Linked DNA regions of Alligator mississippiensis. The protein of the gene in region 1 interacts with the protein of each later gene in a pairwise test. Links are inferred from orthologs where the notes say so. Each region holds a gene or a part of one and is shown in the gene's direction. Other genes may lie near its edges. The genes, in order: TRIM69, FKBP1B, IYD and ASNS.

Region 1 (7,905 bases):
AAAAAAAAAAAAAAAAAAAACCCTTTGATTTATACATGGGCTTGATGTATAATTGGGCTCCCTGTTGTCCTGACTTGCAGTTGCAGTATTTTTGTGCATATGATGTTTTTTCATTTGATGTGGGTTTTGCTTTGGAATTTGTAGTGGAGTTTAATTCTTTGGCTCTTTCCTTGTCTGTTTGATTGTCCTTTGGGATTTTGCAAGGGCCATGATCGAAGGTCTTGATCAGAAGTTATCAACAGCTTTTTCCCTGGAACATGGTTTTTAAAATTGAACCTGAAAATGTGGGATTGACTCTTATAACTGGTACAGTGTGGTGGTTTTTTTTTAAAAAGAGCTTCTGGACTTGGTTTTTGTGGTTGTAGTTTGGAGATGCAGGGCAGGATGGAATTCAGCTGAGCTTGGCTTGTTGGGAGGAGAGAAAATAATTAATTGCAACAAACAAAACTAAGATAAAGTCTTAGACAGATACAGGTGGCAGTGGCCTGGTCCATTGCATCAGCCAGCACTGGTTATGCTGAGCATCTATCTGGCTGCTGGAAGAGTGCACTTCATCCAGCACTGCATTGCATGTGTTCTGTGATTTGTAGGAAGGTTATTTATGGTGTTTGAAGGGAAGTCTCATATTCTGCCACTTTCTCTTGCAGACCCAGATAACTGAACCGTCTTCCTCAGCCAAAGATGGTAAGTTACATGCTTTCTTTGTCTTGCTGTCAAAGAGTTCAGTACCAGACTGATCCTCACGTTGTGGAGGGGAGTGTGCAGCTTCCTGCATTAGGAAGCAAGGGCCAGAGGATGAAGAACAGAGACGGTGTCCTCCCACTAGATTTGTAGATGTTTGTGGTGTACTTTGGGAGTGTGATCACCCTAACATTTATACCTAACAATATCTAGTCCTTCAAGAGCAGGGGTGGGCAGTTATTAGGGCCCAAGGGCCATGTAGAAAGTTCTTGGTGAGCTGTCATAGACCAGATCAGCACCCTCCTCTTCCCAACTGCAACAGTTCACAGCTCCCTGTGTGGCCTGGATTGGAATCTGGGGGTGGCTGGGGCTGGGATCTTGGTGCAGTGATGCAGCAGAGCCAGGACAGTCTCGCAAACTACTCCCCACATGGCCCTACAACAGGCATGGGTTCTGTGGGCAGGGGCATGCATGCAGGGAATGTATGGCTGTTCTGCCCTGGCCCTATGCTGCCACCGCCCTATGATCCTGGGGTCTCTGTGGAGACCAGCCAGGACCCTTGTGGGTAGGGCAGGATGGGAGCTAGGACTGGCCACACATGCCATGGCCTGGGCTGGGCAGGACCAAGGGACCCATCGTGAGCCAGACAGATTCCCTTGGTGGGCCACATCTGACCCACCGGCTGTATTTTGCCCACCCGTTCTAGAGACTCCTCAGTTCTCCAGGAACTAGAGAAAGCAGCCCTTTGAAACGAGATGAATTTGCAAAGCACGTCATAGGCCATATTCCAGTGTATTGCAGACTGCATTGGAGATAGGAAATCATTACAGTGGTTGAGTGAGAGGGGCTAGCCCCATATCTGTTAGCCCTTTGAATACCAGTAAGGTTTAGTATGCAGCAGAGAAAGGGTAGAAGAGCAGCTGAAGCATCTTGCTTTGGTTCCAGAAGACATAAGTTCAGGTGTCCCTAGACTCATGGTGAATGCTGTCCTGAGTTGATCTAGCTGTAAAGGGGGTATGGGTATGTGGTTCTGGGAGGGTGGGGGGTAGTAAAAGCAGCTGGATGTGAAGCTGCCTTTACTACATAACCACTAGTATGGAAGGAAGCTATAGAAATTGGTGTATTTTAAGCATATTTCAGACTCCCCATTAGGCTTGGGTAGACTTAATTTGTGTGAAGGTTCCACAAATATGTGATTTGGAATATACTGCTAGAGGGATCAGTGCTTACATTGAGGAATTCAAACTGATCTCAAAAGCTACAGCTGGTTACAGAATAAGACTCCTGAGGTATAACTGCTCCTAGAACTTTCTCTAATTTTTTGGTAGTAGTATTAGGATCTATTAGGACTTGTAAGGAGAGAGAGCAACCTTGGGACACTTGTCTATATGTAAACCTAAAAGTGGGAATTCCTTGGGGACCCTTTTCTGGGCATGATTCTAATTCAGTAATAGGGAGGATGGCCGCTTGGAGGATGGACTAGAGAATGCAGAAACAATTTGTGGGCAACATCAAACTAGAAAAGTTTGCCAGCTGTCTGGAGAATCAGATCAGAATTCAGAATAATCTTGATAAATTGGAGAAATGGTCAGAAATCATGGTGAAATTCAATAAAGGTACCTGCAAAGTGCCACAGTTAGAAATCAACTGGGGAGTGAACACTTGCTGAAGCAGGAAGGAATCTGGGAAGTTGCATGAAATAAACTTCTGAGTCAATGATGCTGTTGCAAAAAAGCAACTGTAATAGTTAGACCAGGGAGATAACGGGTTTTACTCAGAACATGGGAGCTGGCGAACTGCACTGTTTTGGGTAGCACTCTCAAAGAAAGATGTAAACAAATGAAGGATATTCTAGCAATAAGAATTATGAGGGGTTTAGAAAATATGACCTTTGAGGAAGTTGAAGGTCTAGAAAAGAAGGCTGAATAGGGACATGTCTTGTAGAATGTAAAAGGCTGCTGAAGAGTCTGGTGATGAATTGTTCATCCTGTTGTTTTGGGAAAGGACAAAAAAGTGTAGCTTAACTTGCAGCAAAGTAGATTTATAGTAGATGTGGGGGGTGGATACTAATGAAAACAGGGACATGCTGGAACAAGCTACACATAGGCGGTGGAAGAACAGGTCAAACAAACATTTGGGGATTCTCTCAGTATGGTGGATAAGATGGCCTCTTGCCATTCCTCCAGCGTAGGCCTTTTGGGATTCTAGATTATTGTGGCTTGGGTTTTGGAGTCTTTCCAGTTCCTTGTCCTCTAAAATAACTGTAATTACTCTAAGTTTTATTTTCCTCACTAATACATTTTATCTCTTTACCTTTTCAGGTCTTGAAGTTGTGCCTTGCTTTGCACTCTGAAATTGGCTTCAGCCCTAACCTGCAGTCCTGTCACCTTGCACCCAACTACTTGATATTTAAAATGAATGCATATAGCTTTGTAGTTAATACTGAATTATTGTTTCTGAAGTGGGAGGGGGGTGAGGGTCTTCTTGAAGTGAAAATTCGCTGGCATAAACTCTGATCTGGCACTTAGTTGTCTAGAGCTAAGAATTTGGGCCTTTTGCCCAAATTCACTGAGCTCTCTGAAGAGAGAGAGAAGCACTTGGTTACTAACATAAGTGCATTGTAGACATTAGATACCTTAGTTAGGTTAAAGAACACCTGCAAATACAATACAGGCTTCTTGCTACTTTAAATGATCAGTTACTTTAAAGTAAATCTTGAGATCAAGATCAAAATCCCTGGATTTTATTTGCAATTTATCCATTCTGTGCCTAAGGCATAACAGCAGAACTTATGTTGCAGACTTGAAAGTTGTACTGTCCTGAATCTACTTACCTGCATTGGGGATGGGGTAGGTGTATGCTTAATTGCAGCACATTTTGTCTTGTACATTTTAATAAAATATTGTGAAATATGTTATTTATTGAGTTAGCGGCATCTTGTAGTCTCACGGCACTGAATGCAGTGTGGTGCTCAAACCCTTTAAACTAGTGGTTCCCCACCTTGTTAAAACTAGGCACTCTTTTTAAAAAAAAAGCCAGTTCTTGGCTTTTGCTCAGTTTTTGACTACAACAACAAATAATAAGGGAATTCTTCTGTTTCGGGGAACTTTGGAAGGACTGCAACAGGACAGAATGTTTCTGATGCTATGGATGTGTAGGTGAAGTCTCTGAGCTTCATCTTCTAAATTAGGTGTACAAAAACATGAATGCAAATTTAGAAGTCTGTTTTCCCTAGTTCCCACGTGCCACCAGAACTTGCTAGCATTTAGGCTGGAGATGCAGCAATGAAACGTTACACCTTTAGAAACAGGCCATTTCCTTTGAAAGTTTAAACAAAATGAAATCTGATGTGACCAGGAGCGGATCCAGGATTTCTGAAAACGGTGCAGGAGTAACAACGGATGCTACAGGGGTGGCTGCAACTTACACCGCAGGGATGTCTGCGCCTTCTGCTCCCAGCCTCTGCCCCCATGACTGTGGGCAGACTTCATTTTAGCCCCTAAAGCAGGTGAAAATCCCCTCTTCCCCCATCCTGTTCGAGGCAGTCTCTTTCTGCTTCCCCCTTCCCCACAACTCTCCCACTGCCACTGCTGCATTCTCCACTGCTCAGGGAGCTGCAGAGGCAGCCAGGCTGAGCAGGACCTGGGCTCAGCCAGAGAGGGGGCAGTGGCAACAGCCTGGCTGGAGCAGGTGCAGGCAGGGGGATCCCTGTCCATCCCTGCTGCCCCTGTCCCCCACCCCCAGCTGGGCCCAGCCCTGACACAGCAGGCAAGAACAGCTCGGGCTTCTCACCTCCAACAGTGGGAAAAGGTGCCATTGCACTTCCCACCTACCTGCCCCTTGAACATGACATTTCTAATGAGGTGAAGCTCTGGAAAAGCTTGTTCTCATTAAGCTTACATTTGGGTGATTAAATTGAGCTTGAGGTTCCCCTTCAGTTATTTCATACAGGGATGTCAAACTCACTTCGGGCTCTGAGATGTATCTGGCCTGTGGGGTCCCTTGCAGGCTGGACTTGGTCTTGGTCATGGGGCAACAGTGACAGCAGCCACTGTGGGCATGGCAGCGCTGGTGGTCATTGCAGTGATGGTGGAGACAGTGGCTGCAGGCAAGGCAGTCACTTGCAGTCATAGAGGCTGGCAAGGTGGCTGCAGGCAGCCCATGGCTGTGTCAGACAGCCCCCACTCACTCCATATCCACTGAGGACCTAGGGGTCAGGATTTGGTGCCAGGCTACATCCCCCTCCTAGTCATGCCCAGCAGGCCAGGTATAGCAGCTGTATGTTTTCCACCCCTGATTTAATGGCAGGAGCACTGAAATACTTCTGAAGGACAATGTGAAGCCAGCATTATTGTTACAGTATTGCCAGTCTCTCTAGCTGACCTTCCTATATAATCTTCTGACTTTCCTGATGCCCCTAGATGAGCTGAGTTTTGTACAGCACTTTTAAGATGTTAATTGTTGGCAAAGCATTATCTTAGTTCCCTTAGCCTCTCCCCTGTCAGCAGGCCCTGCTTGTTGGAGCCCCGCGCTAGAGGAAAGGGCAGGGGCAGCACAGCGCACGCTAACTGCCGCTGTGCCTCTTGTCAGCTGCCACCTCCGTCTCAAACAGCCACGTCCGCTGCTGAATGGCCACTGGTCTCCTTCCAGATCACAACCGCATCCTCTGGATCTATCAGACCAGTGGCCATCCTCTTCCAGCCTCCAGGTCTTTTACTGCTGCCCCTGCCCCCGGGCTGTGACACCCCCCCCCGGTCCTTGCCTCCATGCTGCCCGGTTCCAGAACCTTCCCCCAGCCGCTTTCCGGTGGCATGTCTCAGTAACGGCCCCCTCCACCTCCTGCGTCCTCACCGCAGACACACGGGCCTGGCCCCAGGCTCGCTGAGGCCTGTCACCTATGGGTAAGAGCTCCGCCATGGGCTCGCTTAGCCTCGCCCCAGGGTTGGCCGGGACCTGCGCGGGGGAGCATTTACAGAAGTCTGCGTGTGCTTGGGGGGCGTAGGTGCCGGCAGGGGGTGTGCACTGTGAGTTACGATGCCTTTGCAAGGGGGGTGATAGGTGTGCTTTGGGTATGTGTAGAGCAGAGCTGCTGGATGTTGGCCAGTGTCTGGCTCTGGGCTGTCTGACGCTCCCTTTAGCTTTATGCCCAGCAGCTCTGCACGCTGTTGCTGTCTCCTTCACTACGATGTACCGCTGTGAATTGAAGCTTAGCACAGGAGGGGAGGGAGCACAGAGAAGCCGCCTTGATTCTGGCTGCTTTTCCACCCTGCGGCCAAAGCGTCGTGGTGTGACCTGCAGGAAGGCTCAGAGTCGTTGTCACGGTTGATGCACCTGCTGCCATGGGCAGAAGATCAGACCTTGCAGGGCATCTGCCTCCTCCCTTTCCAGTGTGTTTCAGACAGAAAATCCTACACAAGACCAGGCAGGGAAGAAAAATGCAGCCCAATAAGCTGTCATAGGGGTGAGGCATTATAAGGAAAAGAGAAGGGCTAGCTGGAGGGGGGGCACGCGGGTTTCTTGTGTGAGCTTTCACCGAGCCGAGGACAGGAATGACTGAGGGCCCAGTACCTTCACTGTGAAACTCAGCGCAGGACTATTTCTTTATATTTAAAAGCGCGCACGCGTGTGTGTGTGTGTGTGTGTGTGTGTGTGTGTGTTTTTACATAAAAAAAAAATGTCCTGAAGCGTTAAGGATTCAAAGAATCCCATGTGACCAGGAGTATTCAGTACATTTCTGGTTCCACATGTTTGTTGTGGCAGTTCCTCAAAAGGCAATAAAAGCTTACTACTGCTTTGTGGTAGGGAGACTGCTCCTTTAATTCAGGTGGCTGTGACTTGGATTTGCAGTGCTGAAGCTTTAGGGTTCAATTACCAGTGTGGCATGGGAGGGCTTCTTACAGTCATTTAGATCATTTATTAGGGCAGGGATTCCCAAACTGTGGCTGAAGATTGCATCAGTCTAGTTTTAGGACAAAGGTGCATGGTGGTCTGCAATCAATTTTGAGAGCTGACAGTGATTATTAGTCCAGAAAGTTTGGGAGGCTCTAGATTAGGGCAACCAAGATACAAAATGTAGCCAGGTAAAATATAAGTACAGGTTTTGATTTTCAAATAAGACACTTGAATTTTGGGTGCCCAGGGTGAAGGTGAGGGTAGTATGTGAGACTGGGTCTTCAAGAGCAGTGGTTTTCAAGCTTTATAAACTCAAAGCATCTAGGGTGGCCATCATAGAGGACATTCCAGTTTTCTGCTAGTCTGTCCTCTGTCCTCTATTGCTATGAAACCGGATACCTTTACGTCCTCTATTTTTCTGTTGAAGAGAGGGGCCTCAATGGAGGGGCCTCTCTTTTCTTGAAGAGAAAAGTAGAGGGCATAAAGGCATCCGGCTGTGTATCAATAGAGGACAACCAGACTGTCCTCTATGATGGTGTCACAGGCTAGCTGGGCACCGTGACTGTATCAATTCTATCACAGGCCAACTGGGCACTGCGAGGGTATCAGCCACTGGGCTGTTTGGTTCAGTTTCGGATCAAGGAGGCAAAGTTGGGAGTGAAATAAAGGCAAATTTATTATAGCTCTCACACACAACAGTTAACAGAAAGATAAATATGATAAGCAGATAATGCAGTATTAAACAGCTAATAGTAAATAATAACAACAGATAGTAACAACAGATAGAAAGATCAATCTGTCGCAGGCCAGCTGGGCACTGTGGGGGTATCAGCCACTGGGCTGTTTAAAACAACAGATAGACAGACATGGGTTGGCAACTTATTGATAGTCTCTCAATGCCAGGTGATTCCAGCAAAGTCAGGCGTCCCTGATCGATGCTGTTGGAGGGATTACCAGGGAAGATCCCTTGATCAGGATCTGATCCTCACTCACACCAGGAGTCTGGGGTCCGGGCATGGAACAACAATGACCATTCTGTTCCCTCCTTCCTACTGGTCACCTGATGCACGCACTTTTTATACCTAGTCTTATGCTAATCTGTTGGCTTTAGAGCCACTCACAATCTTACCCTCTAGCTGTTACCCTATGGGATTGAAAGGTGTTAAAAATTATCATAAAAGGTTACTACCCAGGCCTGGGTTTATCCAATAAGACAATTACAATGCAGCACCTTTAGGTTTGAAATTGACACTGCTCCGCCTAAGCCCAACCCCTTTTAGGTTTCCCTGAATATGCTTTCTTGGGATGTGCTTTCCTGGAATGTGTTGGGTG
Region 2 (7,929 bases), on another chromosome or scaffold:
GATCCTGGGGGGTCTGCATGCCAGCCTGAAGCTGCTCTCACCCAGCTCACCATGCTGCAGAGGGGCTGGCTGGAGCACGAGGGTGCTTCAGCAGGGCATTGGCTGGCAGACAGCCCCTGCACTGAAACAGTCTTATAACGCAGCTAGCTGGGTCAGTGTCTACACATGCATTGCTGTGCATGAAAACACTCCACAGCAGGATAATACTTGTATTTACAAGTCCTAACTTTCTGCAGAGTTTATTAGTTTCCTGTGGCCTACTAGTGCCACACATGTAGATGCTGAGATGTTTAATGTGGAGCTAATTAGGCAACTCTGCAGTTTACCTTGTGTAGACATGCCCCTAGAGGAGAAGGAGAAAGGTCTTCCAACTTTTTTTGCTGAATAGCTTAGTAATTAGGGCATCACACAAACATAGCTATGACATATCTTACATACAATTGATTCCAATAGGAGTAAAATAATACTACAGTAATTTGCTATACTAACGCACTGCATAGTTTGGATTCAGGGCTATTTACAATATAATGCAAACTGACAACAGTTGCACAGATCAGCCATCAATGAATAGAGCTGTGGCAGGGCACCTTTGGTGCCTGCCACTTTAAGGGGCTTGAGCAGGCTATAGAGCAGCCAGCAGGTGCAGTTAGGCCCAATTGGGTGGTCATCTGACTGCAAGAGGGTCCTCAGATTGGAGAAGGGCCAGGCAGCCCCAGTATAAGCCCAGGCCGTAGGAGCAGAGCTGGTAATGACATCTAGGGAGCCAGAAGAGCAACATCATCCACCCTGCAGCTCCCAGAACACCTGAAGGTCAGGGTAGGAACTATGGGGAGGAAGGAGGTTCCTGGTCCTGGGCAGTGACCTGAAACTGCACCCTGCTGGGGTTGGATGGTGTGGTGGGGCTGCCTGTGGTGGGGCACTTCCCAGGAAATGCCACACCTGTGCCTCCCCAGTGAAAGGCAAGGATGGGGTGTCAAAAAGCCTCAGCCCCTGCTGTCTTGTGGGTATCCTGTGGAGGGGAAAGGCTAGGGGAGCATACCCCGACAGAAGAGCATAGGACCCAGGTCTACTGAGTGGGGTCTGAGGCAGGGTCCAGGCCCATAGAGTGGGACCTGTGACAGGGCCAAGGTCTATCTAGCAGGATCTGAGGCCCATGGGGTATAAGGCCCAGCAGCCCAGTGAGGGGCAGAGTAGTGGCCCTGGTGAGGGGTAGAGTAATGGACAAGAGAGATGCTAGAGGCTGAGTTTGGCCCAGTGTGGGGCAGAAAGCCAGAGGCCACATAGAGTAGGGTCTGTGGGTGCCTGAAGGACTGTGCATAGGCTGGCCAGAGTAGTGGCAGCTGGAGCCATGTAGAGTAGGGTCTGTGGGGGGCTGAAGGACTGCATGTAGGACAGCTGGAGTAGAGGCCCTAGTGAGGGGTATGTGGCCAAGGACGTCTGAAGACATCTGAAGCAAAGTTTGGGCCAGAGTCCAAGTGTGGCCCAGCAATGGGGCCGGGGGAGTTGGAAGTGATTTGTGGATGTGATCTGCAAGGCATATGACATGGTGCAAGGGAAGGTTTGGAGCTGTGTATTTTGCCCTTGGCATCAGGGCAACCAAATGTGCAGCCTCCTGCTTATAAACACCTATTTTTGGAAACATCAAAGGTGTGGCAGGCAAGACAGGGTAAACTGCCTTAGACAGGTGGGTGGGCCAACAATTGGACCGGCCTCGAGATGGCCTCATCACAAGACCAAACACAGAAGTAAAATATCAGACCTACAATTTTGAAGTAAATGGGAACAAAATCCAGTTAAAATATCTTACAGTTAAAATTCAAATGTCATTGGTATACTCACCGGCCAGGAAACACAGATTGATCAGTTAAATGATCCCCTCAGAGCCAATGGAAATGGTGAGATTCATGTACAAAATCACTTAAGGGAATATAGTGTTTCTGATCTACAGAGGTACCTGAAGTATGTACATATCTGTCACGGTGTTTACAACTTTTAATTCAACATGATAGGGGGAAAACGCCTACTAAAAACAGATTTTTTTTCTCTGTGAACTACCACGCTTGAAATATATATTAGTGCCTGTTTCAGACCATACAAACAAAAAAGTACATGAAAATCGGCTGAGGTGTGGAAATTTCTTTCAGTGAAATACTGGATGTACTGTCAAGATGCTCCAGAAGGCTAGATTTTGTTTTATAAATCTAAAAGAGATGCACATTTAGTTCTAATGACAGCAGGACTGAAGAAACAACATTTTTTTCATTATTTTTGCCTAGTTTGCTGATTTTTTTTATACAGAATAAATAATATAGCAAATTAACACACATGCCAATAAAATTATATGTGTTTTTGCTTTGATCTTAAACTGAATAATATGGCCCTAGGCCCCTAGCAGATTAAAGCTTCTAGTTTCTTCTTACCTGGATAAAAACATGTCTTTTGTTGCATATGGTGAAGCACCAGGCCATCTGCCCCTACGTCCCCCTTTCAAAATCCTAGATTTGCCAAAGAATACTCTGCCTTATGTGTGCATGCTTGGCATGGCCACCCCAGTGACTGTCCCTTTCAATTTGACTCTCCCCTTCCAATCAGCAATGGAAATGGCTAATAACTGAGGGCAGTGGGCAGTGGGGGCCCAGGGGAGATCACCATCAAGAAGCAGTGCGGGAGCACAAGGCAGAGGCAGATCCAGGGGGGGCAGTGGTACAGTTGTACCCCCCTTTGATTTCTGCTCCACCCAAAGTTTAAAACCAACTGTCTGGCAGCATGAGCAGCATTTCTATTCAGGCAGCAGCAAAGGAGTCCCTTGACTTCACAGCTCATTGCAGTCTACCTGATCCCTTCTAAACTCTTTGTTCCATGGGTGTTATGGAGCCTCTCTTTTTTAATGGTCTTGACCTTTCTAGGATCAAACCAGCCTTTGTTCTGCCATTCTGCTGTCTGGGCTCCTGGTGGCACAGCTCCTATCCCACAGCTCAGCCAGCTGTTCCTAACTCATTTCATAGATTCATAGACATTAGGGCTGGAAGGGACCTCAGAAGATCATCGAGTCCAGCCCACTCCCCCAGGGGCAGGAAGTCAGCTGGGGTCATAGGATCCCAGCAAGATAAACATCTAAATGTCTCTTGAAGGTGTTCAAGGTAGGCACTTAACCACCTCCGGCAGCAGTCTATTCCAAACCTTGGGGGCTCAGACAGTAAAGAAGTTCTTCCTTATGTCCAGCCTGAAACGGTCATTGAGGAGTTTATGACTGTTCAAACTTGTCATCCCTTGGAGCACTCTGGTGAACAGATGTTCCCTCAGATCCTGGTGAGTACCCCTGATAAACTTACAGGTGGCCACCAGATCACCCCTGAGCCTGTGCTTTTCCAGGGTGAAGAGTCCCATGGCTCTCGGCCTCATATCATAAGGTCTGTTTTCCTGGTCTTTGATCATGCGTGTGGCTCTCCCCTGCGCTCTCTCAAGCTTCTCCACATCCTTTTTGAATTGTGGAGCCCAAAACTGGATGAAGAACTCCAGCTGCAGCCTCACCAAGACTGAGTACAATGGGAGGTTGACATCCTGGGATTTGCTTGAGAAGCATCTATGGATGCAAGCCAGCTTTTTGCTCACTTTACTAGCCACAGCATCACACTGAAGGCTCATATTCATCTTGTGGTCAATCATGACCCCCAAGTCCCTTTTGTCTGTAGTGCTAGCCAGTGTAGCACTGCCGAGCCTATCAGGATGCTGCAGGTGTTTCCTCCCAAGGTGGAGAACCTTACATTTTTCGGTGTTAAACACCATCAGATTCTCATCTGCCCATTTGCTGAGCCTGTCAAGGTCTGCCTGGATCACCCGCCTGTCTTCTGGTGTGGATGCTTTACCCCAGAGTTTGGTGTCATCAGCAAACTTGGCCAGTCTGCTTCTGACACCTATGTCCACATGATTGATGAAGATGTTAAATAGTATAGGTCCTAGGACAGAGCCTTGGGGGGCCCCACTGGTTTCAGTGGAGTTCTGTTTGTTTTCACTTCACTTCAGTCTGGCAGCGAACCATCCTGCCCGAGGCGCCTAGCCCATCATAAAGCTTGTGGCTAAACTGGGCAAAGGCCTGTGCCGTGTTCTAGGGGCTGCTTGAGGCTTTTCAGGCCCCCTGCCTGTCCCTCACACCCACCCTGTACCCCATACACTTGGGGGCTGGGCAGGGTTCAAATCACGCTTTGACTTTTGTGGGGGTCTGCAAAAGATAGGCCTGCACATCATGATGCCCTAATAAAATTGGAGATCCTCCAGGTTATGATTTTCAAATCTTACAAAGGGGCTCTCGTCTCTGATGGGGGGGGGGGGGGCAGAGCTCCCCAGTAATTTGAACTCTGGAGTTGGGACCTGGGGGCAGGGGTTGAGGAGTGAGGGGCCCTGGGTCGGGACTGGCCGTCAGTATTTGCAAATGGGCCCTGGCACAAAAAAAGGTTGAGCGCCCACCACTCCTCTGGGAAGGATGCACCTTGCCCTCTGCGCCCCGCTTTCCCAAAGCCCGGATCAGCCCAGGCTGCGGCTCTGAAAAGCTGCAGTGGGGCTGGTGATCCGAGCTGGCTTAGGGTCGCCACCTCGATTTGAATCTACTCCGGGGGGCTTCTGGAGTGGCAACGTGCCCATGGCACACAGCGCCAACGTGCCTGGTGACCCCCGGGCTGTCCTGGAGGGTCCCCCCTTTCCCACCGCCTGGACCCGGCCGGGCTGCGGCCGCGGGAAGCTGCCGAGGGGCTGCGGGGCGCCGCTCCTGCCCCGGCACCCCGACGCGGGCGCGGGCAGAGGCCGGGGCCGGGGCCGGGGCCGCGGCCGCAGCAGCAGCAGCAGCAGCAGCAGCAGGCGCCCGCCCCCCTGAGCCCGGGACCGCCCCGCGCTGGCGGGGGAGGCACTGGCTGCGGCGGTGACGGCGGCGGGGCCGGGGCTGGCGCTCAGTCGGGGCAGCCGCGCCGGGGACGAGGCGCTCGGGCTCGGGCTCTGCAGCGGCGGCGGCGGCGGCGGTGGCCATGGGCGTGGATGTGGAGACCATCTCCCCGGGAGACGGTACCGTGCAGGGGCAGGGGCAGGGGCAGGGGCAGGACGTGGGATCAGAGGGGCTGCGAGCACTTGGAGCGGGGGGGGGCATCCGCTGGCGAGAGGAGAGCCGCAGCGGTCAGGGGCTGCAGGGGAGCAGGTGGGTGGGCGCATCCCTGGCGTGGCTGTGGCAGGGTCTGTGGGTGCGAGCGGGCGGCTGCCCCTTGCGTGGCCAGAGGGCCGGGCTGTCTAAATGGCATTTGCTGACAGCTGCATAAATCCAAGTGTGGTGAAGTCATGCACGGGGGTAACGAGAGCAAATGCTAGCGCAGCGCGCTTCCCCGCTCAACGTGCGGGAGCCCCCAGGCAGCAGCGAGCGCCGGCTGGCTTCCCAAGCCCATCCTGGTGGAGGCATCCTTGGGGCAGCAGCAGCAAGACAGCTTGTAGGGCACTTGTCTGCTGACACCACTCCTGTTCCCACGTTACACTTTTCCACGTTACAGTTGACTCCTGTGGGGAGAGCGTGGGAATGAACGTGAGACACGATTGCAGTCGTGCAAGTAGCTGTGGTCGAAGCGAGCCTTTCACGTGCAGGCTCCCAGAGTTTCCCAAATGTGTTTCCAAAGTTTTTCATGAGCCGTTGGCTGGGTATGGCAGCAATGTTTGGCGCAGCAGCAGCATTTTGACAGGCCTGACCATTTCTCCCAGGTTTGCAATGGGCAGCTCAAGTTTAGACTGAACGTGAATCTTAGCTTATGAGATCACTTTTTCACAACCAAGTCAGGGCTGCTCTGCTCTGGGCTGGTAGCGTCACCATACTACCTCTGAAGATAAATACCATCGCTAATATACAGCTGTATGAAGGGGCCAGCTTCATCCTTGGATTACCTTTCTTGGCTCGAGCTTTTTTCTACTCTTCATTTTCTTCTTCTGCTGCTTTGTTTAGCTTTGAGGGCCAAATGATGCTCCCATTTGCCCTAAATTTGGGGGATCTCCATACATGGAAGAAGGGCAGCTATTGTAAGTGGTGCTGAGGATAGAATTTAGTCTTGGAATTGTATTATTTACCTGTGCAGTATACAGAGATGTGCTAACTATGGGAGATGCTGTTCAAATTAAGGTTATAAATATCTTTTCTTTGGTTTGTAAATCTTCATCTAAACTGCTTGATTTGAACAGTGTCATCAAACCACAATTAGTATGTACTGTTGCCCCAGATCTATTCGACAGTCATTCTGCTGTAGTCAGTGGTCTTGGCTTCCTTGGGTCTAATTCAGCCCTCATGCAAACTGATACAGGTCCATTGAATTTCTTAGCATAACACCTACTTTTACTAAAGTGGAAATTAGGTCAAAGATGAATGGTGCCATATTCCTTCTCATTTAGTTCTGAATCTAATAGCATATCCTTTGCCTGGGGCCTGTTGTGGGTGGCAGTAGCATTAGCTATGGCTAGCTACCAGCCCCATTGTTCTCGGTGTTATACAAATGTATCATAAGAAGCAGTCGCTGCCATTTTCCAGTCTAAACAGAGTAGGCAGTTTGTAAAAGGTTTGGAAACCTCTTCACTACTGATGGCTATATATTAGGAATCTGTGCTTGACTTGCGTACCGTTTCTGCTGCCCTCCTCCTACTATTTGTTTCTGGTGTACAACTGTCCGTCTCAGATCATACCTGATAATAAAGCATGCTGTGGTAGCACACGAAACTCAGACGGAAGAGACAACAGAAGGCCATCATGGAGGTTGGCGCAGGATCCTGCCTTAATATCCAACTTCTGAAGCTCCTGCTTGGGTTGTTTCTCCACTAGTACATCCCATCCCATATACTGCAGATCAGTTCTGCTGAGCCTGGGTCCTGTGCCTGCCAACTCAGTTCTGCAAATCAGTGGTATCTGTTTTAATCTGCTGCTACTTGGAAGTTTTGGATGTGTCCTGGAAAATTTCCCTGCAGCTTTGTATGCCTGTCCAAGCCTGCTGGCAGAACCTAGGGTAGATGAGTAACTCTCAACAATGGCAAGTGTTTTATTCAAACACTCTCTTATGCCTAGTGTCAGAACAAGGGGCAAAATAACCATTGTTACAGAGGGGCTTTCAAGAGCTCCCTTCAGGATATCAGTGCCTCAAGGTTGCCAATTTAAAAAATGCATTTGTATTGTATGAGAGAGGATTTTTGGGAAGCTTTCCCATTTACTAATTGCATGTGTTCTCATGAAAGTAATGTTAAATATATGGCATTTGAATTATGAATACTAACAGCGAACTTTACCACTATCCCAGAGTTTGATTTTGTTTGTGAATGACAGCAAAATGGCTCAGAGAAATTTAAGAACATGATCTATCCATTATGCTTTTTGAGACTCCCCTTGCAACAGCAGGATATAGTCCATTGATGGGGAACATCTAATGTTACAGTAAGTGTAAAATATGGTATCCTTGTATGAAAGGAAAAGGCAATATTATGAGAAAATATTAGTATTATTCCCAAAACTAAACATGGATCATAACGGGAACTCTCTCTCCTAAGCTATAGTTACCTATCTCCCTTCTGGATATTGGCCGTTTGGATAAAATGTCACTCAGACCTAAACCAGCCCTGGATTTAGTCCCCAGCCTAGCCTCTTCGTCCCATTCATTCTAAAAGCTGATCGTGAGCAGGCATGCTACCAAAGATTTTTTTTTTAATTAGATTTTATGTTTTCAACAGGGAGGACATTTCCAAAGAAGGGTCAGACATGTGTGGTACACTACACAGGTAAGCATGTTCTGTATGTTCTGTCCAAACTGTCTTGCATTTTAGGAGTTACTGGTCATTTCAAATTGGATTTTTTTTTTCTTCCCCTGCCCCTCTTTAGCCCTTTGTTTCATTGTTGATACTTTTCTGATGAATCTTCTGGAGGCGTGGCTC
Region 3 (7,061 bases), on another chromosome or scaffold:
GGCTGCAGCAGCCCCAGAATCAGCCAATACTAGTTGCCTGCACCAGGGCACATTGCAGCCAGGAGTAGAGGGGAGTGGGGAGAGCCAGCTGGCGCCAGCCGCTCCCAGGGCCACTGCAGCCGGGGCTGGAGTGAATGTTGCTCTGTTCCCTATGCTTTGCTGTCTTGTGCAGCCCCAGGAGCAGCGCCCCTTCCCAACTCCCAGCCTCCCTCCCTCCCTCACTACCATGGGAACCTATCCCTATTTGTTACATTGTAAAGTGGGTTCATTTTCTGTGAATTTGATTTATGCACTGTTCTCCAGGAACACGTGCACTATAAATCGAGGGAAACCTGTATATAGGGGGAGAGAGACAGAAGTTACCTGCAGAAATGCCTGTGCAAAAACATTTAAACTCAGGACAAATGATCCTCGCAGCTGTTGCTTCTCACCCCCTTTCTTATGTTCCAGGCTATTCTATAATAATGTATTGAGGTGACAAGCATGCAGTTTGTCATCCACCTTAGCTCATTAAAGTAGATGTCATGGGTACAGTACTGTATTGTTAGCAGACAAAGACTCTGCTTTAGCACAGGTGGCCAAGAAGCGTGCTTACAAAGCAGGAGGATGTAGGGTCTATCCCTGTTATACATTACTGCACAATAAATGTGCAACGTGCCACATGTGCAAGAGATTTATGGTATATTTAAATGATGCATTTGTATCAGGCTGTAATTTGTACATGTGGCATGCCTGTCCAAACGGCTGTGCATGCAACTGGGCTGTACATGTATTTTTTAAATGTCCCAGAGCTCTGGAAAGTTGAAATCAGGGCAAGGCTCTTCAAACCTGGGGTCCTACCACCCTGGGACTTTAAAAAACTTTGTGTGCAGCTGGGCTGTTGAGAACCTGGGATCTGGGAGAGGGTTTCCAGTCTTAGGCTCCCAGCACCTTGGGACTTCCAACAACTGCATGCATGGGTTTTAAAAGTCCTGGGGTGCTGAAAGCCCAAGACTGAGGAACCTTTCCCCAGTTCTGGCACCCCAGCACCCTGGGACCTTTAAAAGCTACCCTGCATCTGAACTTGCTGAGTGGGGGAATGGTGGAGGAGGCAGACAATTGACTCCTCTCACTTAACCCATGGGCTGTACTGTACATGGCTTTCAACTTGCCAGGATGTGCAATTGTTGGGATCTGGGATCAGATCCCATTGTGCCATTAAATGAAAGTCTTCCAGCACCCTCAGTGGCCAAATTCTTTGGGATAGTGACAACCATCAAACCCTAAGCAACCATAGATTCATTACGGTAATATGCACTTCTCTAGCATCTTTCATTTGAGCTTAAACCTGTCCTTTGTGAGATGTAATGCATTTAGCTTCACAGCAACCCTGCAAGGTGCTCCATTTTCATTTATTATAAAGATGGGGAATCTGAGGTACGGGGCCACAGAGTGAATTTAGAGGCAGAACCAGGAAGATAATTTTGGAGTTCCAGCTCCCAGTTCCCACAGCCTCAAAATTATTCCATTGTTGTCGTGAAGCCAGGACTTCAAAAACAACGATGAAAAGCAAACCATTACCCCACCTCACCATCTTCTTTTGAAAAACCCAAAAAGACAAATATTGCACAGGCAGTTTTCATAGAATTGTGAATTTTGAGGCTAGATGAGGCAATTCTGATGATCTTTTCTGATCTTCTACAGACCACAGAAATCCACTGAATCATTTTTATATCACACCCATAATTTCTGGTTGAAGAAGATGTATCTTTTTAAAAACATACCTGGTGCTGATTTAAAGAATTCAAGGATGGAGTGTCTGCTACAACCTTTGGCAAGTTGCTTCAGTGGTTAATAACCCTTGCATTCATAAATGTACTTTAGTTTCAGTCCAAATTTGTCTGACTTCAGTTTTCAGCCATTGGAGCTGATGATGTCTTATGTAATGAAAGAGCCGTCTACTCTTCTCCTGTTTATGGGAGTTGGGCTCAGATTCTTATAGGTCTTTGTTCACTCATTTGTCTCTTTATACTTGTAAGTCTAACAATTAGACAGCACTGATATCATTGGGACCCTCTGCTCATCTGCTGTTTAACGCATACACCAATGGTTCCCAACCTTTTTATGCTGCAACCCTAAATTGGCCACCAACTGGACCTCCCAACCCAGCACCGTGGGGGCTGCTGGGAGTGGAGTGCAGCTCAGGGGCAGGAGCGGGGAAGCCACCATTGCTCCCTTTGTGCATGGCAGTCCTTCCCCACCTGATGCTCCTGGGCCATGTGTGTGAGTGTGCATGTGCAGGTATGTGTAGGCCCTTCGTGACCCTATTGAGGACACCCTGTGACCCTGATTTGGCTTGCGCCCCGAGGCTGGGAACCAATGACCTACACGCTGCCACCTATGAATTGATTTCACCTCTCAGTTAATGATTTGCTTATAGCTCTAGTCAAAGCTTTGAAATAGGTTTCTCAAACCTTTAGGCATGCTCTGATCACACCAAAACCAAGTGACAGCCCACCACACGGGGAATGCTAGTGAGACCTGTCTGTCTCCTGGTGGTTAGGGTGCTCCCCAGTGAAGTGGGAGACCCGAGTCCAAATTAGGCAGAGAAGGGACGATTTGAATTCAGTATCCCACATCACAAGACTATTTGCTGTTTGTGGGGGGTCCCCCCCCCCCATTTTTTTTATGGATAAGAAAAATCAGCTGTGGCCAATTATGTAGCTGATCTGACTGAAGTGGGGAGTGGGGGGGAGGTGTTTGCCAGAGATCATCACTCAAGCCTCATCTTTTTCCTTTTCATTTCACCCCTGGGTAAGACTTAAGTAGTTTTTGGGAATTCTTCCTTAGGCCTAACTCTTCCCATGCATTGTGAGCCTGAGAACCTGATTCAGATTAGACAACTCCACCAGCCAGCAGGGTGCTTAGGCAGCTATTGTATCCCACTGCTTATACACCCAAGAATTAGACCAGAAACTCTTGGGCAATTATTTATCTAACATGACCCATGAGACCCTTTCGGAGTCACAGTTCCAGGATAGATTCTACCCTAACTAATCATTAGTTGTTAATAATTAACCATCTTTAAGAGGCACCATCAATATTGAAAGTCAGAGTTCTATCTCACGGGTTTTTCTGCTTCTTGTTATAAACTAGCACGTTTAAGAAGACCGAAAGACGTTAGAGAACAAGGTTGCGTTCATTCAGGGTTTTGCCTTTAGAATTTTTTTTATACATTGGACAGTACTTTGTGTATAGTCAGTGTCACTGGCGATATGTTACTTCCTGGAAGTTAAAATAGTGTGTGTAGTCTTAAGAGCAGCAACAGAGACAAAAATGAATCAGAAGGGGCAGAAAGAGGAAGTAGAGAAGGACAGGAGGAGACATCATGTGTGAGTGGTGGAGGTCTTAACCCCATCTGTGGCAAACACTCCCAAACAAATTTAGGACACACAGAAGGGCCTTTCATCTGTCCCCCTTTTCAGCATCTGAGCAATATCTCAGCTCTAAAGAGCTGGATCCTTTCAGCCAGTGCATTGTCCATAAGCAATTACATAGGACACTCAGTATATAGCGGTGCTGCCAGCTCGTTGTAGGTTCTCAATATTTGATGCTTTTCCTAGAGTCATGACTTCAGGTTTCATTAAGGAAGAAGAGTAAATGTCTAGCCCTCATGATTGCAGAGAAAAATGTGAAACCAACACGTCCCTACATTTTTTAAAATAAGCTTATGATCTTTAGGGAATCTGACATATGGCTTTTGCAATGCAAAAGGCTTCACTGTTGAAATAAAAAAATGATACCCTAAAGATAGAATAAGGACAAGAGCAAACAAATTCAGAGAGAGGTTATGGAAGCGCTGGGAATGTCATTCTATAACTTGGATGCAGATGCAGAAAAGACACACCTGGGGGGACAAAAGAGATCTAGCTTTCTGAAAATGTCCTGATTGCTGGCAGCCTCTGAATGCAAATTAGCCATGCTAGAGCACTACTGCCATCAGAAATGTTTGCCTTGAAGTGGGAAAGCAACCAAGTCTGAGCACTGAACTTTCCTCCTTCACTCCACATTTTGTTCCACCCCTTTTTCTCATCACCCTCCAAACAGTCCCTATTTCCTCTCTTTCTTCTTGGAAGACAAATTGTCTGAGGAGGAGGAGGAGTACCCCCTTCTCAATTTAACTCTTTGACCATGGTACTCTTTTCCTCCCTGACCCCAGTCTTTATAGCAGTGATATGTGTTTTGATTGGGATAATTCTGAAAAACACAAGGAAAAGCAGCAAGAAAGAAAAGAGTGATACTAAAAACAAACCAGAATCTCACCCATGGGTGGATGAAGACTTAAGAGACAGCACTGACCTTCATGTAGAGGAAGACGGTAAGGAAAATAGCAATCAGCATAGCACTTTTCCTGTCTGAATTTTCTGTTGATTTGAATAAGGGAGACATGATCCTCTGGACTACTGAGTGTGCATACAGCTCTGCAGCTACAGTGCACTTTCCTTAGCAGGGCAGAGGTCATACATGTCTGCTTCTGGCAGAGAAAGTGACAGTAGTAAGGACTAGTCAACCCAATTAGCTTTAAAAAAGTAACTGGGGGGTCTAATTGTTTGATCCTGTAGCAAAACCTGTGAGAGGGGGCTAGAGAGGAGAAAATGAATACGAATTCCCACTGTGGAGGTCTCCCATTCCTTATACTGGAAAGTGGGGTTTGACCTCCTGTTGAACAGGACTTCTTGATACTCCTCTGCTTACTACTTCTCTGCTTACTCAAAGGGGTGGTGTGTCTCTACTGTGGAAGCAGGATGTAGGGCTGTAACAAGTTCTCAGTGTATATTTCTATTCTGAGCTCTGAAGAACGCACATTTCCTTAGTACCATCAATACCCCTTTTCCCCTCTTGAGCCCCTGATGGGTAGGAAACCCAACATCAGATATGGAGAAAGGAGGGGTTCTGCAAAAGCACATGTGTTTCCATCACCATAGGGATCTTGGAGACATGATTTTATCTGATTTTGTATGCTCTGAAATTATACATTGCTCATTATACTTTTATCCTGCTCATTGCTATCATTGGCACAGTGTGTCTGTCTGACCTGCCAGCTCATTTCCATTAACTGTTTATGAATATGTAAAGTATATGTATTTTTCCTTCAATTACAATAACTGGCTCAGACATGCAGTCCTCAGCCGTGCATATGCTGATAACCATGGGGCCTTTAACTGTTTCAGTATTATGGGATTGAACTCTATTTGGAGACATTTTTAGGGTCAAATTTTCAACAAATAAATAAGAACCTAACTAACAGGGTCTCTGTCCTTGCATGAAGTCTCAAGGCTGCATGAGTAGATCTGATACAGAATTGGGCTATAAGTGTGTATGTGCACAAAAGGCACAGTCCTTTCTGCTCTTAGAATATGCAGTTTCCCCTGTTTCTTTGTAAAGCAAAGCTGCAGAATTTTGTAAACCCTTGAGATAAAGAAGGGCTTTTGTTTTTCAATTCTCATTTAATGTAACCACCTTTCTTGACCAAATCATTTTAAAGTTTTATGCATAGGTTTGCACCCCAAAATGATACCCACCCCAAAGCCAGGTTTTCTAGCTCATATAAAACTTCAACCTGCTTTCTGCCTCTGCACATGCTACTAATCAACATTTAATTTTTACTTCACTTTGGGCCAGGTTCTACTTCTACTTATTCCCCAACCAGCTGGGGGCTCGTGGCTAGCTGCCGCTCTCCTGCAGCTTTTTCCAAGCTCCCTGCCCCCTGATTGGGGAGCCAGGGCTGGGAACTTCCTGCTGCCAAAATAGAGGGACATGGTCCCCGCCTGGGTGCTGCCACCAGAGCCTGCTCGAGGCAGCTGGCAACTCCTGGGGGCAGGGAGCAGTCTCCCAGTCTGCTCCAGGAGACAGCTATCTCCTGACCTGATGCTTCCTGCCAACCCCTGGGCTGGCTACTGCAGGGGGCCAGTGTAGGGCTGGAGCAGGCAGGAGCAGACTGCTGCCAGTAGAACCAAATCTGCTCCCACATCTCTGCATGTGTACGTGCCTGTCCAGGGTGGGTTTACTCTGCCTACAAAGTTGATCCTTTCCAGTAATTTTTGCACTCCTCCTTTATCTGTAGCGGGTGGCATGTTTGTAATGGCTTTAACCCTTGCAGGATCTATGTGCACCCCTTTCTCAGAAAGTTTTTCTCCTAGTTATGTTATTTCTTTGACCCTGAATTTGCATTTTTGTTTGTTCAGTTTCAAACCTGCTCTGCGAGTTCTTTCTAATGCTTTTCTTAGCTTCAAACCATGCTCTATCACAGTATTTCCCCAAACTAATACATCATCAGTATAACCATGGTTCGTTCAATCAAGACCTTGAAAAATGTGTTGCATCTTTCTGTGATACAGTTCAGATGCAGAACACAGTCCAAAGAGAAGCCTACAAAAGCAATACCTTCTTAAGGGTGTATTGATGGTATACAATCTAGTGCTTTCCTTTTCTAGGGGAACTTGCCAAAACCCAGAAGAGGTATCCAAAGTGGACAAATATTTATCTTCTGCCACATTGACAAAAACCTCTTCCCTGGTTGAAATGGGAAAATGTTCCCTTTTGATGTACCTATTCATTTGCTTAGGATCGAGACACAATCTCAAGGATCCATCTTTTTTTCTATTATGACCAGTGAATGAACCTAAGCAGTTGGATGCTCGACTTTTTCCTATTATGTCCATGTTAACTAATCTATTAAATTCCTTTTTCAGTTTCTCCCTTAGTACAAGGGGAACATTTCTTGGAGCGTGTATAGTAGGAGTATTTGGTTCTCTTAATTCTATCTTGTTCTCAGTTGGCAGTTTCCTGAAGCCTGGAAACACATTATAAAGCTGTTCTTCTAAGTTCTTGCTTTCTAATCCCTCAATGGCATCCATTCTTTTAATCAAGCCTAGAGTTTTACACATTTGCAGCCCAATAATTGGCATTAGCTTTCCTGGGACAGTTACAAACTGAATTTTTACTATATTACCCTTGTGTCTAACATGCAGTGCACGAATACCCTTAGTTGCACTCATGTTCCCATTATATGCTCTAAGTTT
Region 4 (7,480 bases), on another chromosome or scaffold:
CTACATTTGCAGATTGTCTGCATCCCTGATAAAATGGGATGCAACTCTAGCACCAAATGCTTGTTTCGGTTTAATAAGCTGCATTGACTAGGAGCTTCCTACACCTGTTCTTCACTCAAACATTATGCTTACTCCTCAGAAACTACTTTCTACTCCCTAAATTTTATGGCATTTTCTACCCACTTAAAACCCATGCATTGTTATTCACTTTACAATTGCTAGGACCCTTGTGCATCTCAAAACATTGTTGAAGTAGGAGGTATTCTTAAAGTACAATCAAGTTACAGATGCATTTTTCTTTTGAGCACGCAGGAGGATATCAAAGCCAGATTTCTTTGTAATACAACTACAGCTCCACGAAACTACTTTAATTCCTCCTCTACCATTTATATACAGCTATACCTAACACACCAAAAGCATTTGGATTAGATGTGGATAACTTGCAGTGTCCATTCTCAGCCCCAAGAAGAGAGGCAGAGAAAGTTAAATTGGAATACATACCTTGACTCTTAATTTCTTGCTTGTGGGAAGATAAGAGTATCCCTGAACAGTTTAGCAGGGCACAACACCCCACAAGGTGGCCTTAGCCCTGCATTAAGGAAGTTTGGGCAGTTATTAAGGTCCTTTTCCCAAAATTCTCTTTCTTCAAAACTGGAATAGAGCATACTAAATCCATCATTCAGCCTTTCTTCCTACAAATACAAACTTTGGCAGCTCTCTTTTCCTAAGCCAAATGAAGCAAGTTCAACAACAAACAAACAGTCCCTTGTGCTCCATTTCCCTTTATAACAGTGTCACAGGGCACCCTGGTGCCTGCTCCTAGAGAGGAGAAACTGCCAGGGAGAGAGCCCTGGCAGAGCCAATTGAGCACAGCTGCAGGTTGCCGGAGCAACTAAGGGGAGCCAGCTGCCTGTAGGGGGCAGGGCCTGGCCCTTATAAAGCCCAGGGCTGAGACTAAGCTGGTAGTTCTCTGTCAGCAGTCAGAGAGGCAGGAGCTCCTGAGGCTGACAGCAAGTACTGCTGGAGCAAAGGTTAAGCCATGATGTTAAGTTATAGCCAGGTGGCTTTGGGTTGTGTTTGGAGTTATAGCTGGGAGGCTTGAAGTTGTGTTTGTGTTATTACACCCGGAGGCTTGGGTGAGGCTGTAGGGGTTGGAGGAAGCCTCAATCATAGGGACCCCAGAGAGTGTGGGGTGCCCTAGTGCCAAGAGGGTGTGTTGACCTCAATCATAGGTACCTCATAGGTGCCTCATATAGGGACCCTAGAGAGAGTGTGGGGAGCCCTAGTGCCAGTGAGGGTGCAGGCTAGCGCCAAGGGGGTGCATTACTTTCATAGCGCCAGTGAAGGCGCAGCTTACACGCCAGTGCAGGAGCAACTGGTGGCGAGGAGCGTGGCCAGTGGGTCGTGGGCGCAACCAGTAAGTTGCAGATAGGGGACATAAACCCCAGCCCCAGAGCGAGGGGCAATTTCATTGAGAAGCCCCATGGGGGCACGGCAAGCCCCCAAGAGGGGAAGCGCCATACTGAGCAGCCCGAGAGTGGGGCCATACTGAGCAGCCCGAGAGCGGGGCGCTGTGGTTGCCCCTGAGAAGACAGGGAGTAGCAGCGCAGTGAGCTGGGGTCAGAGAGGGTATCTGTGCGGTTGGCCAGGGAAGGGCCGAGGCCCGCTAGAGAGTTCCTGAGCGGGACCACACCGTCAGGGAAGGCCCAGAGTGGGCTAGGCAAGAGTCCCAGTGAGAGGCTGGGTACTAGAGAAAGCCCAGAGTGGGCTAGATCATAGAGGAGGCCCAGGAAGCGGGCATGTTGACACACCAACGTCTATTACATCTGTGAGGCTTGGGGCTGGTAGGAGCCACGCATAGCCCATAAGGCTAGGGTGTCTGAGGAACACCCACCGTATCGGGAGACCTCCAGGGGTCCCGGAACACACCGGGGCAGAGGTCCTGAGTAGCCATGCCCAGGGAGTCATAGGCAGCCTCCCTATTACGTTTTCCAACAAGACATGGTGGGCGAGAATTAGAGGGTGCCTTGGGCCGGCCTGACATGGAGCAAGGGACCTCGAGGAGATCATGGCCCTCTGAGAGGACCCCGCCGTGACAAACAGTACAAAGCACAGCCTAGCCAATAACTAAAACAAGTAAAGACTCAAACCAGAGTAGGTCTGTAGTCAGGGTGGCAGCATTACCTGTGTCTAACAACCCATTTCCTTAGCTCAGTCATTTCCTTTAATGCTTCCTGTTGATTGCTGCTTCTTTATATCAGTATGAAGGAGGACAACTGAGACTTAGAAGCTCCCTGGCCTAACATTTGATTTTTTCCAGTTTGGAGCTCTGAGGCTATATGATCCAGCTACCCGTTTATGCCATCTCTACCATCCTGGTCATACCAGAATGCTGTAAAATACAGTTCTCTAACGGAGATGGTCAGAAACATCATAATGATAACAGAAAACGCAGATAAATCCCCTTCTGCAGGGAAGTCAGCCCAACCAGCACTCAGTTCCCAGGAAGAAATTTTGCCCAAGCAAGACTATACCCAGACCCAGGCTTTATCCATGGCAGGTTAGGGTGTTATGTGTTGCATCAGGGCTGATGGTAGTTTTACAAAGAGTTTTGATTATGCATTGTATGGGATGGCTTGGATAGGGATGATCCTGCCCCAAGCCACAGGGGTCATGCTTACTAGATGACTTCTGGAGGGCATTTCCACTTCTTCTCTTATGATTATTGCTGGTTATCTTTTTTCTCCAATGAAATGCCAACCTGGAAGGCTCTGACATTTACCACTGTGAAGAAAGAGTGCCTGTAAAAACCATGACACATGGGGGGAAAAAAAAGACCTCTGAAAAGCATTTAACTGAGAGGACTGTTTGCTAGCACTCTGTGATCCTTTTAAATGGTAGCTGACACTGTGCTTCCCAGACAGCAACTGTAGGCTTTACTAGCTCCCCAATCCCCCCTGGTGCTGCCTGGAATAATACCAGCCTCCTAGTTTTCTCCAGAAATACAGGACATCACTGATAGAAGGAGCAGATTGCTTTTATTGTAGCTGATCCTCCAGATACCTCAGAGGGAGGAGTCTCTCTCTCTCTCTCTCTATTCCTCTGATCTTTGACTTCTCTCCACTGCTCTTTGAGATGGATTGAGGCTGAAGTGGGTTTCTTATTCCTAGTTCTTAGTTCCTTTTCCAAAACTAATCATTACACAGTTAAAAGCTGTTAGTAACGTACTAGACATGCAAAAGAGTTAGAATTTCATCAAAAACGTATATTTACTAAAAAATGTAAAATAATATGCATCAGTAGTGGAAACAATGGACATTGCACACAGGCCTGGAAGACTGTCAGTTGGAAGGTTTGGGGGTGTTTTTTTTGTTTGTTTGTTTGTTTGTTGGGTTTTTTTTTTGTGTGTGTTTTTTAAGGAAATGTTTTTGTGTTCCAAGTCAGATCAGCCAAATCAATTCCAAATCCATGAGTCATTCAAGAACCAGAAGTGGCCCTATTACTGGAAAACATCTTCCACCCTTGCCTGGAGCTTCAAATACTTCCAAATCCTTTAGCAGGCATCTTACGTGCAGGTGGGCTTGGGCTTCAGATCATGGGTGACTGGTGCCTCCCGAGACAGGGATGGGGCACCAGATTGTGGATTTGGGGGGGGGGGGGGAGAATCCCCCATGATCCCTGAGCCAGCAGCAAAACCAGAAGTGCACTTCTGCTGGCACTTCCAGTTTTGCAGCTGGCGCTTCCAGGGGGAGCAGGGCTGATCTCATTGGCCTACGTGTCACCAATGCTTCAGATGCCCGAGTTTGGCTTGCCCTTGGCCCTACGGCCACAGGAACAAGCTAGGGAGGAGATCCCCATTTCTATAAAGTCATCAAGTAGCTGAGATCCTCCAACTGGAAGCTGGCCAGCGGGAAGCTAACTATGAGGCTCTGGTAGGGAGTCCTGTCTGCAAGCAGACAAGGGTGCAACCCTCCACTACACAGTGCCGTTTTAATTGCACTCCCTTGGTCAGGGTTTCCCTTGCCACCATCGTGGTCATGGTATCTCCCCAGCTGGCAGGTGAAAACTGAGCTTTGGGTCAGGTACTGCCCTGCCCCAAATTCTCCAAGGCTTCTCTGGATGTGGAGATGTGCAGGCTGCGGGGAGCTGAAAAAACCCTTTGCCCCATAAGCCCAGCCCCTTATTCAGGATCAAGTATTTGATGCATGATGCGCATCGTAGAAAATGAGGGTTGGGAGGGACCTCAAGAGGTCACATCTAGTCCAGCCCCGTGCTCAAAGCAGGACCAGCCCCAGCTAGATCATCGTATTATCTGACATGGTTACTAGTAAACGCACACTGCTGATGACACTAACCCTGCGGCCTGTCTAATTCATTACTAACAACCTGGACGTGTGCACAGATCAGCTTTGAGAACCGACCCAGGCGCTGGGAGCGAGAGCCAGCTTCCTCGGGCGGGGCGGGGCGGGGCGGGGCGCGGCGCGCCGCCTGATGAAATCCAGCCCCGTGTTTCAGCAGCGCCGGGAGGAGGAGCCGGTCACTTCCCGGTCGGGACCAGCAGCGGATCGCTCCGGCTCACGCGGAGGTAGGGAAGGTGCTGGGGGACCCCGCGGGCGCAGCGCTGCGGCTCCGGCTGCCGCCCCAGCCCGCATGGCCCCAGCGCCTGGGCGGAGCGGGGGGCCGGCAGCCCGGCCATGTGCTCCCCCCAGCACGCACCAGGGATCCGGCGCTCTGCCGCGTTGCATCAGCCGGCGGCGGCGGGAGGCCGCTCGTGCTCGCTGGCTGCAAGGAGCGCGGCGGCGCCCGGGGGCGCGGGCCGCCTACCACCAAGGGGACTGCTGAGGATGCAGCAGCTGATTTCTTAGGACAAATGGGAGGAGGACAGAGTGGATCCCAGGTTAACAAGGAGGGAGCCGGAAGGGCACGGGGAGCAGGCACCACGGCCCCCTGAACGCTTGTGGGTGCCTTGAGCAACCTCTGCCCGGAGGGGGGCGGGCAGGCGCTGGGGAGGGTTTGTCCTGCCTCCGCTAGCACCTGGGGACCTGCTCCCCCCCAGGACGGAGAGAGCAGCAGGTGGAGGGTGGTTTCAGGTCCTGCCCGGCCTGGGCACTGGCCCAGCCACTGCATTCGGTTTTTGCAAAAATACTTTTGTTCCTGAGGTAGGAAGATAGCCTCCCCCCACCTTTCCTCCCCTCTCCCCCATCAGCCTGGAAATAGCCGAGAGCCCAGCAATGAATCCCGCAGCAGGGGTTGCTGTCATGCACAAAGTAAGTGGGGGAGGGGAGGGTATTAGAATCCAGTTGAATTAAAACTCTTGCTCATTAAGGATATGGGCATGCCCGAACAAAATAAGTGGAATGAGCTACCTCACATTTCCATGAGGTAAGCAAAGGGATGAATTTACAGCATGTCCAGTGCTCTGTAACAAGGGCTGCCATGCAAGCTCTTCACTTTTGTTAAACATGAAGCGGCTTCTCTCTGAAAATATGTGGAATGAGTTTTGTTTTATTTATTGCAGGATTAGAGTATGCATGTGGGCAGTGAGATGACAGCCAAAAAGTTGCCATCATATAGCACTTGTTCGCTGGAGGACTCTGCTTTTTCAGCCAGGGTTGATTAATGTAGATCGAGCCATACTCTAGGTCTAGACTAATCTCCTGTGTACAGAGGCTCAGTCCCTTGTGAATACTCTTGATGTGGCCCATGACTGTGCAGTCTGCTAAGAACATGAGGGGCAGAACAAAGCATAGAACATAAGTCCAAGAACATAAGTCTTGGACGGGTTTAAATGTAGTTTAAACCACAAGGCCAGGTGTAGACATTACACTTACTACTATAATTGATGGGAAACTGGTCTGTACCCATAACAGAACAGAAGCTCAGCACAGTAAACTGGTTTATACCTGTAACAACAGAATTTTGGAGCGCACAGACTGGACTAAAAATGGCAGAACCTGGTTTTAGATTTGCACCCTGACCCCAGAGGGCAAATGTGTGTTCTGTTCACAAGTGTCCAGATGCCCAAGCCAGTTTAGAAAGGTATAAACTGTTCAGTTTAAAGTGTCATGGAAAGTGACCAGCACATCCTGGTTTTTTTGTAACTGCACTGTGGGAGCCTATAGGGACATTTGAAAGTCCCTAAAGCAGGTGAAAACACTCTCTCCCATCCCCTTCTTGCCCAGAGGTATTCTGTAACAGGAGGGTGGTCAGGGTCACCGTGCTGTCCCTTGCCACCTCCTTTACCATGCCAAGGTGCCGACTCACACCCTCCAATTTTCCTGCCATGACTTTGATTTTATATATTTCTATAGGGAGGCTGCCTTCTGTCTTCTTGGCCACGGTTCTCCTGTCTTGGGTGTTCCGTACACCCCAGCTGTGCGTGGCTCCTACCACGCATGTACCACGCCCCAAGCCTCGCAGGTGTAACGGACATTGTTCTGTCTCTCTCTCCCTCTCTCTGTCTCCACGCCCCCTCTGGCACTTGTGTTCTCTGCAGCCCTGTCTCTCTCCATGCCCTCTCTCCGGGGCCACCTTAGTAATGCTGCCCTCTCTCCAGGGCTCACCGTGCCTGCACTGGGGCTTCTCAGCAGTGCCCCCTCTCCAGGGTTCCTCAGTAATGCTGTCCCCTTCTCTGGGGCTTCTCCACAATGCTGCCCCCTTCTTTGGGGTTGGGGTCTGTGCACCCCAAATGCTGCACCCTCACTGGCACTGGGGTCTCCACACCACTGTGAGTCCCCTATGAGGCCTCCCTCATCCCCTGATAGCTTCACCCAAACCACCAGTGACAAACTGCAACACAAACGCAAGCCCTTCAGCTATAACTTAAACAGAAGCTGCCTGGCCATAACAACGTTCAAGCCTACCGGGGATTCTTCATCTCACAGCAGTTACATGCTGCTCCTGCCTCAGGCTTCTCCTCTCTCCCAAGACAGAGAGCTCCTTCCCTCTTGCCTGCTGGTAGGGAACTACCTCTGGCCTTGCCCCTGGGCTTTATATGGGAGCCAGGCCCTGCCCCTTCTGGTCAGCGGACCTCCTCTGGTTGCCCCGGCAACCAACAGCTGGACTCATTACTCACTGCTAGGGCTCTTTCCCTAGCAGTTTTCTCCCTTCTTAGGAGCAGGGCACCTAAGTGTTCTGCGACATATGCCTTCTCCCCACCCCTTCCCCCCCTGCCTTTCCTCACTGCCTGGGGAAGCACCAGATCTGTTCCTGCCTGCATGGGGGCTAGGCACAGCTGGGGATGCCGACAGTGACAGCGTGGGAATGGACAGAGGGTTCATCTTTCTCATGCGGTGACTGAGCAGAGTGGGGGGAACTGTTTTCCAGCCACCCTGTGGCTACTGTCCCACCCCCAACTTGAGCCCAGCCCCAACTTGTCCCTGATGGCTCTGGAGCTTCCTTGCCCCTCAGCAGTAGAGAAAGCAGCAGCAGCAGCAAAGAAAGAAGCAGCAGGAGTTAGGGGAGGATGAAAGGGGCTGCC

Evidence for each region.
Region 2: the proteins of TRIM69 (region 1) and FKBP1B interact in binary tests that used the Homo sapiens proteins (3 or more experiments, as listed by UniProt). The two-hybrid records come from large-scale screens. The link is inferred for Alligator mississippiensis from reciprocal best matches to the Homo sapiens genes TRIM69 and FKBP1B.
Region 3: the proteins of TRIM69 (region 1) and IYD interact in binary tests that used the Homo sapiens proteins (3 or more experiments, as listed by UniProt). The two-hybrid records come from large-scale screens. The link is inferred for Alligator mississippiensis from reciprocal best matches to the Homo sapiens genes TRIM69 and IYD.
Region 4: the proteins of TRIM69 (region 1) and ASNS interact in binary tests that used the Homo sapiens proteins (3 or more experiments, as listed by UniProt). The two-hybrid records come from large-scale screens. The link is inferred for Alligator mississippiensis from reciprocal best matches to the Homo sapiens genes TRIM69 and ASNS.

The regions. Positions count from the first base shown.
Region 1 is NC_081834.1:40,908,412-40,916,316, forward strand, and holds the start of TRIM69 (E3 ubiquitin-protein ligase TRIM69), read left to right. Parts: upstream 1-4,887; 5' UTR 4,888-5,582; intron 5,583-7,905. Other genes in the region: B2M (beta-2-microglobulin), read left to right, coding at 648-661.
Region 2 is NC_081824.1:15,854,954-15,862,882, reverse strand, and holds the start of FKBP1B (peptidyl-prolyl cis-trans isomerase FKBP1B), read left to right. Parts: upstream 1-4,921; 5' UTR 4,922-5,015; coding exon 5,016-5,052; intron 5,053-7,728; coding exon 7,729-7,776; intron 7,777-7,929. UniProt on the Homo sapiens protein: Has the potential to contribute to the immunosuppressive and toxic effects of FK506 and rapamycin. PPIases accelerate the folding of proteins. It catalyzes the cis-trans isomerization of proline imidic peptide bonds in oligopeptides.
Region 3 is NC_081824.1:129,388,348-129,395,408, forward strand, and holds the start of IYD (iodotyrosine deiodinase 1), read left to right. Parts: upstream 1-4,048; 5' UTR 4,049-4,170; coding exon 4,171-4,357; intron 4,358-7,061. UniProt on the Homo sapiens protein: Catalyzes the dehalogenation of halotyrosines such as 3-bromo-L-tyrosine, 3-chloro-L-tyrosine, 3-iodo-L-tyrosine and 3,5-diiodo-L-tyrosine.
Region 4 is NC_081828.1:171,293,454-171,300,933, forward strand, and holds the start of ASNS (asparagine synthetase [glutamine-hydrolyzing]), read left to right. Parts: upstream 1-4,480; 5' UTR 4,481-4,491; coding exon 4,492-4,585; intron 4,586-4,806; exon of another isoform or gene 4,807-4,897; intron 4,898-7,480.